Linked DNA regions of Kluyveromyces lactis. The protein of the gene in region 1 purifies or fractionates together with the protein of each later gene. This does not show direct contact. Links are inferred from orthologs where the notes say so. Each region holds a gene or a part of one and is shown in the gene's direction. Other genes may lie near its edges. The genes, in order: RIP1, QCR2 and QCR10.

Evidence for each region.
Region 2: the proteins of RIP1 (region 1) and QCR2 purify together in Saccharomyces cerevisiae (affinity purification with western blotting; 4 studies listed by BioGRID, with this or other methods). This does not show direct contact. The link is inferred for Kluyveromyces lactis from reciprocal best matches to the Saccharomyces cerevisiae genes RIP1 and QCR2.
Region 3: the proteins of RIP1 (region 1) and QCR10 purify together in Saccharomyces cerevisiae (affinity purification with mass spectrometry; 3 studies listed by BioGRID, with this or other methods). This does not show direct contact. The link is inferred for Kluyveromyces lactis from reciprocal best matches to the Saccharomyces cerevisiae genes RIP1 and QCR10.

The regions. Positions count from the first base shown.
Region 1 is NC_006041.1:2,013,332-2,015,479, forward strand, and holds RIP1 (ubiquinol--cytochrome-c reductase catalytic subunit RIP1), read left to right. Parts: upstream 1-840; coding exon 841-1,482; downstream 1,483-2,148. Other genes in the region: putative E3 ubiquitin-protein ligase HUL4, read left to right, coding at 1-89. UniProt on the Saccharomyces cerevisiae protein: Component of the ubiquinol-cytochrome c oxidoreductase, a multisubunit transmembrane complex that is part of the mitochondrial electron transport chain which drives oxidative phosphorylation.
Region 2 is NC_006038.1:323,316-326,210, forward strand, and holds QCR2 (ubiquinol--cytochrome-c reductase subunit 2), read left to right. Parts: upstream 1-1,220; coding exon 1,221-2,303; downstream 2,304-2,895. Other genes in the region: RPC82 (DNA-directed RNA polymerase III subunit C82), read right to left, coding at 1-334. UniProt on the Saccharomyces cerevisiae protein: Component of the ubiquinol-cytochrome c oxidoreductase, a multisubunit transmembrane complex that is part of the mitochondrial electron transport chain which drives oxidative phosphorylation.
Region 3 is NC_006041.1:1,221,931-1,224,094, reverse strand, and holds QCR10 (ubiquinol--cytochrome-c reductase subunit 10), read left to right. Parts: upstream 1-1,101; coding exon 1,102-1,110; intron 1,111-1,376; coding exon 1,377-1,604; downstream 1,605-2,164. Other genes in the region: KLLA0_E13861g (glycosyltransferase family 15 protein), read left to right, coding at 1-806; bifunctional hydroxyacyl-CoA dehydrogenase/enoyl-CoA hydratase FOX2, read right to left, coding at 1,996-2,164.

The DNA.
Region 1 (2,148 bases):
TCTGCTTGTACGAATATGAGTCACGTGATACTCTTCTTCTGCGATTGGTGACTGCCCTCGAAATGTATGAGGGTTATGGGTTTAAATAATGTCAGCAACAAACATACATTAATATAATCACTACAAACGAACCAATCATATCGTGAACCAGGCTTTACAGAAAAACCTGCTTCCCTTGAATAACCAGAAAACACAAGGAAATGGACACTTACAGCTACTATGTGAAAGCCGTTAAATGCGAAGCGTTTTACTGACACTAGGCCCAAAGGCCCTAGTGTCAGTTATCATTTCCACCAAGAAAATCTTCCTATACTTGACCATTTACGCAAATAAAATTGTATACTTGTAAATTGGAAAATAATAACCACACCAGGAAGTTCTGCCTCGTCCCAGCTCATTTACACTGTCCATTCCTGTCTGGTCGAATTATATCTTGTTTAATCCTTTAGCGCTTCTTACTATTGGCTTTTTTCCCAATCTGAAATTTTTCTTTGTTTTTTTTTTTTTTGCTTCCTTCCGCACTTATTAAGCTGCAATGGCTTCTGTTTAATATGGATAGAGATAATTTGATAATTTCTCTGAATAAAATAAAATAGAAAAAGATTTAGTACAATCATTTTATTATTACTTTCAGTTCCAACAACATTTTTGCATTGATATATATATTTTATAATCTGGCTTGGTGATTCATATCTGTGTATATATTTATTGATACTCCGAGAGTGCTTTGCTGTTGTGATTAAAGTCGATATCATAGAAACGATTTCTCCGAAATAAGAACGGGAAATTAGTACGAATAATACACTCTAGCGATATATCCATAACTAACTAATATCAAAAATGTTGGGTTTAAGAAACGGTTTGAAGACTGGTTTGAAGTCTGTTGCTCCAGCCAGATTAATTTCTACTTCTGCAGTTGCTGCCAAGTCTACTTACAGAACTCCAGATTTCGGAGACTATATCAAGGAGAATAACGATGCTGACAAAGGTCGTTCTTATGCTTACTTTATGGTTGGTTCTTTAGGTTTGTTGTCCTCTGCCGGTGCCAAATCCACCGTTGAAACTTTCATCGCTTCTATGTCTGCATCTGCAGATGTTTTGGCTATGGCTAAGGTCGAAGTCAACTTGGCTGCTATTCCAGAAGGTAAAAATGTCGTTGTGAAATGGCAAGGTAAGCCAGTTTTCATCAGACACAGAACCGACCATGAGATTCAAGAAGCTAACAGTGTTGATATGTCAGCTTTGAAGGATCCTCAAACTGATTCTGACAGAGTTCAAAAGCCAGAATGGTTAGTCATGTTGGGTATCTGTACTCATTTGGGTTGTGTTCCTATCGGTGAATCTGGTGATTTCGGTGGTTGGTTCTGTCCATGTCACGGTTCCCATTACGATATCTCCGGTAGAATCAGAAAGGGTCCAGCTCCATTGAACTTGGAAATCCCTCAATATGAATTCGATGGTGAAAACTTGATTGTCGGTTAAGCGCAGAAGGAAAGCTAAAAAAAGATTATATTATGTTGATAAATTGTTGAAATAGGCTACCTTTTTTTGCTATTTCTCAAATTTAACTCTCTTCCTTTTTCTCTTTCTCTTTGTCCTTCTCACTCCAGCTTTCACTAATAAAATTCTTTATTCCCATGTTGATGTCTCCTACTCCCCCCATGTATTTTCCAAGTAGGATTCACAACCAAGGTCAATATCTTTTATGCTAAAGTTTGTCATATTGGAATCGTGTAAGCTCGTTTTTTCACGTTCCATCATCACTACCCGATTTATTATTATTTATTCATACAAACATTTTTGAAACCACAACTACCCGTGCCCCCATAGCTCAAGCAAACTAAAAGGATAGCAAGCATGAAATGCTTTTGAAGCATTGTTCAATTGTATGTCATCACTTTTCCTTTTAACTGCACTGAGAAACAATCGCATTAATACCTGAATGACCACATCAGGCTACTACCGTGATTGAAACCCTTTTATTATATTCCAAAATCTTTGAAATAGTCCTGCTCTACCCGATGCATGGTTATACCTACAATCTGAATCGCTTAATGTTGTATCGCCTTCTTTTCCATAAAAGGTCAGACACGTATTTAAAGAAAAGCGGGAGTATTGGATTAATCTGTCAATAGTAACTTTAACCTT
Region 2 (2,895 bases), on another chromosome or scaffold:
CCAAATATTGTACGCATCTTAATTGAATCAAACTGACCAAAACGGTTTTAATACTGGACAACGAAAGTTCTGGTATGAAAGAATGAATTTCTCTCGTGGAGAGTCTTCCTTTGTTGACCAACACGGATAGAACAGTACTGGCTCTTTCACCAAGATGGGATCTGGCAAGTTCAGAGTATAAAAACGAATCTGGGTTAAGAGTTCTCTGCTCTAATGAAGAGATATCGATTGGTTCTGGTGATGTGGATGTGGATGGTTCTGCGGCTGATACAACACTTGCACCACCATTTGGAACAGCCGCATCGGGGATCAGGGCAGCTTGGGCAGCACTCATGTCAGTGCTTGCAATAACAATTGTTTATTTTCCTACCTTTTCTACAGTCGAGCCACCTTGTTGCAGTAGTCATGCATGTATGCGATGAGATGAGATGAGATCAATTCAATTGATAGATTTTTTTTTTCTTTCAATACGAATGGATGGGTCTTTCAAGAAGATCGAAAGAAACAGGCAACATTATTGTAAGTCACGTGGTCACAACCACGTGACTTTTGTGTTTCTGTGTCACGTGACATCTCATCACTCACGAACCAATCATTTCTAAGAACCGTGTCCAACCATTTTTTCTTCAAATGGTTTACCAATACCCTTTCACAGTGCATTACGCGATTCCTGTCTGTTCCCTCTCACTCCCAGTACGTTCCGCTAAAACCCGATATCCCCTTCTTACTGTGACTCCAAGATGGTCTAAGCACGCTTCTCCTTTCTACAGAATCAGCTCGCTTCTTCTCTGATTCCTCTGTAGAGATCAGTCTTCACATCTCGAAATATCTTTTTTTTTTCAATTTTTTTTTTTTTTGTTAGTTATTGGATTTTATCGCATATAGCTTTATTCAATAGGTTCTTGAAAAATTTATAACAAAATATGACAATTCTACTTCAAAGTTTAGAGCTTTTTGTTTGAAGATTGGTTTTGATTACAGGTTTTGTAAAGATTTGTGATTGATATACTATTTTGATTACTTTGTTTTACTCGTTACTCTGTCAGTGTACTTTTTTTGCTCTGTTTCGATACTTATTTTGTGTGTGAGTAAATATTATTTGAGTTTGGACATTAAAGGAAAAGTAGAGGAAGACCTTTTGATTAACGCATAATTGATATTGATATTGATTGATATTCTGACTCCCAAAATTAAAAAGCCCATAAACATATAATATAAAGATGTTGTCCAGTAGATTACAATTTGCCCAGCAAACTGCTAGAAAATTCAGTATTTCCGCTAAAGACGGTTCCGGTAAACTATCCACTTTGGCTGTTAAGGTTCACGGTGGTTCTCGTTACGCCGACAAAGAAGGTATTGCCCACCTTTTGTCCAGATTCAACTTCCATAACACCGGTAACAAGTCTGCTTTGAGATTGGTTAGAGAAAGTGAATTGTTGGGTGGTAAGTTCGAATCCAGTGTTGACAGAGAATACATCACTTTGAAGGCTACTTTCTTGAAGGAAGATCTTCCATACTTCGTTAACGCTTTGGGTAACGTTTTGTACAAGACCAGTTTCAGACCCCACGAATTACCAGAATCTGTCTTGCCAGCTGCTAAGTACGACATTTCCGTTTCTGAAACTAACCCAATCAACAAGGCCGAAGACTTACTTTACAATGTCTCTTTCAGAAAGGACTTAGGTAACACAGTTCTATACAGAGGTGTCGAGAAGGTCACCTTGGATGATATCAAGGCTTATGCCAACAAGGTCTACACCAAGGAAAACATTGAAATTGTTGGTCAAGGTGTCAACGAAGCTGACTTGAAGAGATTTGTCAACGACTCTTTGATTGGTTCTTTACCAACTGGCTCCAAGTTGGCTGCTCAAGCTCAACCAAAGTTCTTCTCCGGTGAAGCCAGATTAAGTGCTCCAGGTGCCTCCGTTGCCGCTATCGCTGTTCCAGTTACTAAGGAACAGTTCGCTACCTACGAAGTCTTGGCTAAGTACCTAACCTCTGCTTTGTCCGAATTGTCTCCATTAATTGACTCAGCTAAGTTAGACAAGTACGCTAATGCCGGCTTGTTCTCTTTATACGTCAAGGGTGAGGATGCTTCTGTCGTTGCTGAAAACATAAAGAAGGTCGTTGATACCTTGAAGAAGGATGTCGACATTTCAGCTGCTAAGGAATACACTGCCTTGCAATTATCTTTGGAAAACGCTCCAATCGATGTCTCTAATGTCAAGAATGTCAAGTTGGACAAATTCTCTTACGCCGCTGTAGGTAACGTCGCTAAGCTACCTTTCGCTGATGAATTGTAAATTTCATCACAGTTAAAAATAACTCACAGATTTTAACCTTTCTCCTACTAGCCAAAGTTACACACATAGTACTTTAAAACTGAAAAAAAAACAACAAACAAACACACATATTCATGAGAGATGACAGAATCACATCACTGAAATGTTTAGAAACGATATTACATTTCTATTGTACATATTTTTTATTATCTTTTACCTTTCGTGGCTTTTGGAAACATTGCAACCTAAAAGAAACCAATAAAATTCAAAAACAAAACTCTCTAAGATTCAAAAGAACACCTTTAACCTTTGGAAAAACTGGTGATGTTAAAAGAGAACCCGTCAATATCTTAATCTTTTGAAATGTGCAGAAGCCACTGATCAAATTCAACAGTTCTGTTGATTCATACAATCCCCATCACTGCTCTTAAGAAAAACAATCAAACAGAGGTTGTGGTGATATTGCAAGAACGTTGGTTTAATACGTAGTGTGTCTTCTTGCCGAACCTATTTTTATTTTCACATATCATCTTAGAAACTTATCACTTATTTATTGAAGTATATATCTCTGAACAAATATCAGTTAACATATTATTGAGAACTAGCAAGTGGA
Region 3 (2,164 bases), about 790 kb from region 1:
CCAAAGTTAGAGAGGAAATGGGCAAAAAGAAAATTGCTTATGGCGCTAGCGAATCGTATCGTTTCATGTGTAGATTCAATTCTGGATTGTTTTACAAGTTACCAGAACTAGCAAATGTTGAATACTATTGGCGTGTGGAACCTTACGTGAAATTCGGATGTGATATAAACTATGATGTATTCCAGCATATGAGACAAAACGACAAATTATACGGGTTTGCCATGGCCATGGGTGAAGACCAAAAGACGATCCCGACGTTATGGGAACATACGTATAAGTATTTTTTCGAAATGCACCCTGAACTTGTCAGCAAACGAAACAACTTCAAATTCATCTCGGACGATGACGGAGCCACGTATAACGGATGTCATTTTTGGACTAACTTTGAGATTGCCCATTTAAAGATATTCAAAGACCCGAGTTATGGGTACGAATCTTATTTCCAATATTTGGACTCACTTGGTGGGTTTTTCTACGAACGTTGGGGCGATGCTCCGGTTCATACGCTTGCATTTAGTTTGTTACTAGACGTTGACCAAATCCATTTTGTACCCGATACAGGGTACGCACACAATCCAAATCAAGATTGTCCAAGAGATAACCCGTTGAAAGAAATATTGAGATGCAATTGCCAAGCCTCAAAAGATTTCACGTGGCATCGTTGGAGTTGCGTCAGTAAGTTCTTTGATGTGAATGGACTGCAGAGGCCAGATACCTTATCACAAGTGAAGAAACACTACTCATATTTATTACCAGAAAATAAGAATATGGACAGGACACAGCCTATGACAACAGAACTCAAATAATTGGATAATTAACAGTCCCTGATTGCCAAGTGTGTCTGTCCTTATCCTTGTTCTACTAGTTAACCGATACAGATATGTAATCATGGTACCCAAATTTCCTATTTGCACGTGACCTACAACCAATCATCTCACTGTCCACGTCGTTCACAATGACATCAACACTATATGATAAAAAAGATAAAAAAGCTTCAATTCAATTAACTGGAGCATTATACCTTTACTATGGGATGTGCTTTTGGTCAACGTTGCAGATATCTATTTTAGAGCTGAAAAACACCAGTATACTTATTCCAAAATGGTTGCTGTATGTGTAGACATGTGTCTGGAATGTGGTTAATGTTTTGAAAGAGACTTTAGAGATGGAGTAGATCAAAACTCATAACTGAATTATCCAGATTTTTTTAGGTATACCGATATCTCCAGACCTTAAAGGTAAGGTTATGAGTACCTTTAGGAAGGATCTTTCATATACCTGATGTATCTTGGGCAAATATAAGCCCTTTGAAGACTGTTTTTTTACTAACATTTCATGTGTCAAGGGATATTTCCCTAAACAATTATCTTCATCAGTACGTTTCTAAACTATCAGCAAAGACTGCTGCTCACTTCGGTAGAATCACTTTTGAAAACTTGAAGAGTTACGCTCCAAACTTGGCTCTTTGGGGTGGTGCTTCTACTTTCGGTTTATTCGTGTTCACCGATGGCTGGCCAACTTTCCAAGATGCCTTCTACAGAAAGATCCCATACTTCGGTGACCACTGGGTTAAGGTTGTTGCTCCAGAAGACAGTCCTCAATAATTGATTATGCGTTATACGTATGATATTTTTTTGAACTTTCGTCATTGCAGGTTGCTTTCTCTCTAGATATGCTTAACGAGAGGAAGCATATTCTCAATCCCAAAGCCTAGAAGTAAGGAATTAAAATATTCTTCTGAGCACCATTATTATTATTTATTTTATGAAATAAACCCTCGAAAGAACGTTACTTTCGAAAAAGCACTTCAATTACACATTATTCATATAAATAGGACCCATCCTTTTACTAAACGTATATAAGTAAAGAGATATAAATTGTTTTATGTCAAAAGAAAACGGATTGGAATTGGTCGTTATTCATTATTTGCTACAAACTAATATACGTTGGGACATAATCATTACAGCTTACGCTCTCTGACACACAAAGCCAGAATTATAACTTTGATTTACCGATCAATTTAATGGCAGAATTGTCCAATACGATCTTACCAGTATTCAAATCAGTAGTTTGGAAAATGACAACATCGTTCTTCTTCCATGCTTTTACCTTTAATCTGTCTCCAGGGAAAACAACATTAGTGAATCTTGCCTTTAATTCATCG